2 linked regions of the Neurospora crassa OR74A genome follow. The protein of the gene in region 2 purifies or fractionates together with the protein of the main gene of each other region. This does not show direct contact. Links are inferred from orthologs where the notes say so. Each region holds a gene or a part of one and is shown on either strand. Other genes may lie near its edges.

Region 1 (3,600 bases), about 2.1 Mb from region 2:
GGCAGAGGTGGAGGTAAAGCCGAAGGAAGAGAGCGTGGAGGATGTGATGAAGGCTGCGTTGGAGGCTGGGGATTTGGACTTTGATGAGGAGTTGACGCTGGGCAATAGCAGCAGTCAAGCGACGGTTGATGAGGAAGAGGTGGAGAGGTTGAGGAAGATGTCGAGAAGTCACTGAGCCGGCTCTCAAGCTGCTGGTCGAGTGCTGAACAAGAAAGGAAAGATGTCGACGATGCACCTATACCCCGAGACCGACTTGGCTACTTTTAGACGTTGGTAGATGAACCTTGTATAATCCTCAGAACAACCTGACTGGGCTCTGCAGAAGCCATCTAGTCTATGCTCCAGGTCAGTACAGTTTTCGCGTACAGTTTAGTTCAGAAAGAATCTGTCACGGCTGTTCTTGGCCTCGTCCCTGCAGATATCACAAAAATATCCTGTACAGTATTCACATTCCATTTTATCTATCCTGGGTATATCATAACAACCAAGTTCTGCTGCTTCCCTTCTCTTCATCAACAACCCCCTCTTTCCCGACCATTTTTCTTCCTCTACTCGGCATTCACACCCCTCCCCTTATTAATCTGCACCTTCTTATCCTCACCACCGCTGAAGATGCCCAGCTGATCCCACACCACGCTGAACACCTTGCACCCGTCGCCCGTCACACTGCTCTTCTTCTTCTTGCCCTGCTGGCTCTCGCGATCAATAACGTACACGGGCTCGCTGACGCTGCCCATGCCGCCCTCGTCCTTGGTCGCTGGCCGGACCGACCGCAAATCCCAGATCCGGCACGTCCCGTCGTGCGAGCCCGAAACCAGTGAGTACTCGTTCTCCGGGTTCGCCGCCAGACTGACCACCTTGTTGGCATGCCCACGCAGCGTCATGACGCTCGTCGCGGCCGTGCTGGTGCGCGGGTCGACGAGGGTAATGTGTCGGGCGGAGGTGCCGCAGGCGAGAAGGGGCGCCGAGGCCGAGGAGCGCGGCAGGGCAGCGAGAGAGAGGAGCGCATGCGAGGTTGTGAAGGTGCTGACCACGCTGGAGGTGGTCAGGTCGATGGTCTTGACGGTATGGTCCTGCGACACAGAGTAGGCAACGGTGCGGTCGCGGGGGTCGAAGACGGCGGCCGTGGCGGGCGCATTGTGGATGTTCATAAGGGCGAGCGGGCCGCGCTGGGCGGCGGTGACGGAGGTCGCGAGCTTGCGGCGCTTGGATGTGTGGGCGCCGGGAAGGAGCGAGGAATCGGAGACTTCGGGCGCGGACGCCTTGGAGGTGGTCCAGAAACCGATGGAACCGTCGGCGGAGGCAGTGAGGATGCGCTTCGAGGCGCCGTCAACCTCGAGCGAGTCGATCGAGGAGGTGTGGCCGTACAGTTCGAGAGTGGGCTTCAGCTCGCCGCGACGCTCGTACGACTCGCCCGACTCGGTGTACTTCCATACGCGAACTGTGCGGTCCATGCCGGCCGAGGCAATCTGAGTGCTGGAGAGGAATTTGGCAGCTTTTATGCTGGCAGTGTGACCACCGTGGCTGCCCGAGGGCGAGGTGCCAATCACATTTCCAGAGGCGTCCCATATCCTGAGGAGACCGTCGTACGAGGCGGAGAGGATGCGATCTTGGCCGCGCTGAAAGTTGTCGCCGGACCAGCGGCCCGCGGGAGAAGTAGCGGAAAGAACATCGACGGCGCTGACCCAGTCGTCGTGCTCAAAGCTGGCCTCGTATGTTGGTGGGATCAAACTGCGAACGTACTGAAGGGTGATGTTGGTTTCGAGCGAGAGGCCGTTGGCGTTGAGGTACTCTTCAAGACTGCCGCGGAGGAAGCTGCCGTTAACAAGGAAGTCGAAGGGGATCGAGTTGGTGTCGAGCATGGACTCGGAGTTGAGAATACGGGAGAGGCCATAACGGCGGATGTCGGCGGGGACAAGGAGCTGGCGCTTGCTCTCATCGAGCTGGATGTCCTCCTCCTGGGTGGTGAAGGTCACCCGGACCTGGGCGCCTGATTCGGTAGGGTGGTCCATGGCGGTGCCTGTGCTGTGATATTATGTGAATTGGGTAGTCGCTGTTCGGTATGGGCAGGCTGAATACTATCAATTGACAAGTAAAAGTCAGATTGGCTTAGATTACCGTGAAACAGGCGTCGTCGGGAGGAGAGTGTGGATGTTTACTTTGCAGCGGACACCACAAGGCCATGCCAAATCCAAGACTCCATCCAATTTTTTCTGTCCAGCCTTGCAGCGCAGGGGTCTGGAGTGTTCTAGCTACCCCACGTTCCCCTATCTTATCGGAACTTTATAGCGGGGCCGACGGTTCCTGTGAGGGTCACAGTGCTGAAGCGCCGCTACTATGTAAACTATACTAGTATAGAGTAGTACCGGTCATGTACCTGGCTTAATTGAACCCACTGGAGCTACGCGTCTCGAAATTGTCAAGCGCGTCGTCGAGTTTCGTCCCTTGAAGTCAGTTTCCGAGTCGGGCAGCACATGAATAAGTCACCAATTGCTTTTGTCGTTCTCACATCTTGAGCCATTGTCAGTATCAATCATACGATGGTCACCTTGGACGAAGTTCTCGGTAGCGGTTTGCTACAGAAGCCCTCGTGAGTAGCAGTGGATCATCCATCTTCCACTGGCGATCATCAGCTAACAACCCAACTTCACGAAGAGGCGATGCGCCCGAGGCTCTCCAGCGCCAGATCACCAACTACAAGCCCCTTCATACCTTCAAACTCGAAAAAACCCGTCCCTATCAACAACAATATGCCGATATTTACTTTTTGCGTCTTACAAAGATCAGGCCCGCCGTCGAGGCAGCCGCCAGCGCCGCTTGGGAGGGAACAGTGCTTGGTGGTGAGAAGGTCAAGAGGGTCGAGCGTGTCCTAGACGTTCGCCAGGGAGAACTATGCTGGGTAGCTGGAACAGTATATATGGACATGCCTCTAAAGCCCTCAATCCTCGAGGATGTCTCCAAGGATGTGAGTTTCAGCCTATCCTTTGGTGGACACCAGGCAGCTGACAATGATGTTATAGCGCTGGATCTCCGCTCCCACCTCGGTCGGCCACTACTACTCCGGCAACGGCGAAGACTCGGTAATGCTCGAAGACGACTCCGGCCGCATCCGTCTTGTCGGCAACGCTCTGCAAAACCACTTCATGGTGACCGGCTGCATCGTCGCGGTAATGGGCACCGAGAACGCCAACGGCGAATTCGAAGTCATCGACCTCCTCTTCGCCGAACTACCACCACAGCCCGAGCGCTGGTCGCTCTCAAAAGGCAAAAAGGAAGCAGACTCCTCCGAAGACGTCGAAATGATGGACGCCTCTTTCTCCAGGCAGTCCCACAAGCCCTCCTCTAAAAAGATTGCCCTCGTCTCCGGCCTCGAGTTCTCCAACGCCGACACCTCCTACGCCATGGAACTCAACCTGCTTCTCGAGTATCTCCTCGGCGAAGCGCTCGATCCCTCCGTCCAACGCGACGAGCTCTCACACATCACCCGCCTCATCATAGCGGGGAACTCCATCTCCACGACGGCGGCCGAACAGGCCAAACCCGCGGCTGCCTTCGACACCACCACCGTAACAAACAAGTTCCAACCACAAATCAAAAAAT
Region 2 (3,432 bases):
TGGATGGGGTTGAAGAAGGAGGGGGAGGTGGGTAAGATGTTGAGTTCTGCTGCGAACTATGGGCTGGGCGTTTGAAGAGAGAGGAGTTGGGGAAGAAAAAGCAAGACCTCGGTCGCTGTCTAGGTACTTGTATAGGCAAACGTCTAGAACACCATGAAAGACAATTGGCTGGCCACTACAGTACACCTATGTATGTCGAACGGCTTCCCATTCTGCGCAGTGTTCTTCCGGGCTCTGATGGGCATTGGCCGGCATGTAGCAGGGTGATGATGACCGAGGCACTTGAAATGAACATGTCAACAGTTAGGTCGCATACTACCGAATGTCTTTGGAAGTACAAGGCTGACATTTGAAGGCGGGTTGGATTTGAATAAAAAAGAAATGAAATTTCAGGCATGACCCGCGTGCCTGCGTCGAATGGATAGTGGCGGGGGCCATGGAGGGTGTTTTGGGGATGGGATGAGACGGGAATCAAGTTGCCCTACCGGAAAACTTGCAAAGTGCGTAGCTAGTTATTTAGCAATGATTACAAGTCTGTTCATATCTCCAATGGGTAATGATCATGGTGACAATGGTGAGGTGGTGACTGGCGCGGCCGCTGGCGCCTCACCAGTTGCGAGCAGAACAAGAAGCCGCGGCTATGATGGCCGTGAAAGTTAGGGTCCAATTCCGAGGAAATAGTCGTTAGGTAAGTTGCCATCATCACCCTTGGGAGAAGGATTGTTGATGAACGAACTGGTGACGGCAATAAAGGCAAGCAAGATACAAGAGGATTAGAAACGGAACCTGAGGAAGCGGTATTTATGTACGTGCTTACATACAATACACCACTTACACTACCTAGGTACACACTTACGCAGTAGGGACTGTATCTTTATTACGGCCCTCTTGCCAGCTGGCGACTGGACTGAGGGAACGTACCCAAGCTTGCCAAGTAACGAACAACCTGTAAGGTCGATAAGGGACAACAGCCCCACTATAATTCTCTTATCGGACAGGAGCCATTGCAGTTCCAGTTCAATCGAGTTCTCTGGGGTGGTTTCCCCCGAAATTTTGGTCAACTTCCGCCTTCGTTGTTGTTGTCGCCGTCATCGTTCTTTGCTGGTTTACTCCCATTTCGCCTTCTTCTTCCCAGCATCTTTTGGCAGTCGAACTCCTGTCCTTTCAGCAACACCACATAGTACCTACTTCCCGAAAACCACAGCAACAATGGGCAGAGAACTTCAGAAGCGCAAGAAGCGCTCGTCTCGCGCCAAGGTCCAGACGCATACCATCAAGAAGAAGGTCTTGAACCCCCAGGGCAGCGGCATCGTTGCCAAGGCCTGGTAAGTACCTTTCTCTTCTTTTTGTTGCCAGATATTCGAGAGGAGATTCAGTACTGACATGCAAAAATTGATGTACTACAGGAACAAGAAGGAGACCCTCTCACAAAACTACTCCCGCTTCGGTCTCGTCGCCAAGCTCGGCACCGCCGCCGGCGGCATGGCCAAGAAGTCCGCCGCCGCCAACTACGCCGGCATCACCAAGGATGATCCTTTGGCCGTCAAGTCGGCCGATCGCGGCCTGTTCGAGGTCCGCGAGGTCAAGGTCGAGCGTGACGCCTCGGGCAAGATCGTCAAGGTCCTGCGCTCGGACAACCCGCTCAACGACCCGCTCAACGAGATCGAGTCCGACTCCGAATCCGAGGAACCCAAGCCCAAGAACCCAACCCATGATATCGAATGGCACGGCATCAGCGACGACCGCCAGGAGATGATTGCCCAGAGCAGCCGGCCCGAGGTGGTCCGGATGCTCGAGGAGGAGGCGTCGCGCCCTGTGGAGAAGACGGTGCGCTACCAGAGCGAGCGCGAGCTAGAATGGCTGCAGCGACTAGTGGCTAAGCACGGCGACGATGTAGCTGCCATGGTGCGCGACATCAAGTTAAACCCGATGCAGCAGACCAAGGGCGACATTACCAAGCGGTTGAGGAAGGCTGGCTTGTTGCAGTAAAGAAGCGGACGAAGAAACGAGGGAGGGGAAGAAGGGGGCAAATTGCATGCGCGAGTGTGATGTGAACTTCATCATCACTGGAATGTGACTGCTTCTTGCAAGGGGATGTTCTTGGGATCACCGGTGAGCTCGGTTTGTGGTCTGAAGATAAGGGTAGAGATGAGGGAGCCTGGCGACAAATGCCCGGACCCATGTCCAGTCTCGTCCTGTAAGCTGGGCTACGAGAGTCGGCGGGAGGGAGAAAGAGCGACCCAACACGGCTGATCCTTCAGCCGAGATGGCTCTGCTCGACAGGTCTCGAAAGAAGAGAGCAACGGATTTTGTCTTTCTCTCTTTGTCTCTCTTTCTCTCTCAGACTGGTATAATGCCAGTTAGACTCTCCCCGCTGTCGCCTCATCATACTTCGCTTCAGGGGGCGACCCTCTCGTGGAATGGGGAACTGGCAAAGAAACAGGTGACGGAGCTACTTCGGCTCGCGCTCCCTTGCTCAACGGTAATGAGCAAAAGCAAAACGGATGATGGGACGGGAACCAGGATTTCTTGTGCAGCATACATACTATTCATTAAGGCCACGGGCGTTTTAGGCGTTTCTCAAAGTACATGAAAAGAATTAGGGCCATTGAGCCATCCACATATATCGTATCATATCTTGTTTGTCACCTAGAATCATGTTCTACGTAGATCTCCACAAATATGGGAGAGTTTAATAAGAATGACACAGATACAAAGCATTCCATGAAGCCGATATGAGAGCTTTGTGATTCATTGTTGATGCACGAAGATATCTCTCTCGTTTCTATGCATGATAAACCAACAAGGACCTGTGACGCCTCGCCAACGACACCCCATAAAACAAAGCCTACACACATACATACACAAGAAAAAGCCCAAAATGTTTCGTCTAGTGCCAGCCAGCCCCCAATAACAAAAAAAAAGAAAGCAGGTAGCCAAGACACTTTGTACATGACCTAAGCATGCTGCAGCGTATAGCTACCCGGTATTGCATCCGCTTCCAGATCCAAAGTCGATCAGTCCAGCTCATCCATATCCCTTGACTTGAATTCTCGACCCTTCTGTTTTTTTTAATCCCATTCTTACACATTCCCCCGTTCGATTCCTACTCGGCCGTAGGGCGCAGTGGGAAACCTTGCCGATGGCTCATCCTCGTAGTCCCCATCATGCACACTAGGCGGCGCGTACCTGCTGCCGCCGCCGACGGAGGATTGATAATCGTTATCGTTGTCAAACGGGTTATCCTGTCTGAACGGGTTCTCGGACGGCGCCACCGAGCTAGCGCCGTACCGACTGGTTTGGCTTCCCAGGTAGCTCGGCGTCACGCCGCGGTTGTATGGATCAGCAGATAAATCGGTCGAGGGCGTGGCGCCGCGGTATGGGTCGGGCGTGCGGGCCGTATTCATGCTCAGAGGGGTATGGCCGCGGTAC

The links.
Region 1: the proteins of NCU09528 (region 2) and NCU03764 purify together in Saccharomyces cerevisiae (affinity purification with mass spectrometry; 3 studies listed by BioGRID). This does not show direct contact. The link is inferred for Neurospora crassa OR74A from reciprocal best matches to the Saccharomyces cerevisiae genes NOP16 and YTM1.

The regions. Positions count from the first base shown.
Region 1 is NC_026505.1:2,340,042-2,343,641, reverse strand, and holds NCU03764 (microtubule associated protein), read right to left. Parts: upstream 2,207-3,600; 5' UTR 2,013-2,206; coding exon 549-2,012; 3' UTR 434-548; downstream 1-433. Other genes in the region: NCU03765 (3'-5' exonuclease/helicase), read left to right, coding at 1-175; NCU03763 (DNA polymerase delta subunit 2), read left to right, coding at 2,541-2,590, 2,656-2,965, 3,021-3,600. UniProt on the Saccharomyces cerevisiae protein: Component of the NOP7 complex, which is required for maturation of the 25S and 5.8S ribosomal RNAs and formation of the 60S ribosome.
Region 2 is NC_026505.1:4,474,328-4,477,759, reverse strand, and holds NCU09528 (nucleolar protein 16), read left to right. Parts: upstream 1-1,040; 5' UTR 1,041-1,209; coding exon 1,210-1,325; intron 1,326-1,406; coding exon 1,407-1,989; 3' UTR 1,990-2,735; downstream 2,736-3,432. Other genes in the region: NCU09527 (hypothetical protein), read right to left, coding at 3,084-3,432. UniProt on the Saccharomyces cerevisiae protein: Involved in the biogenesis of the 60S ribosomal subunit.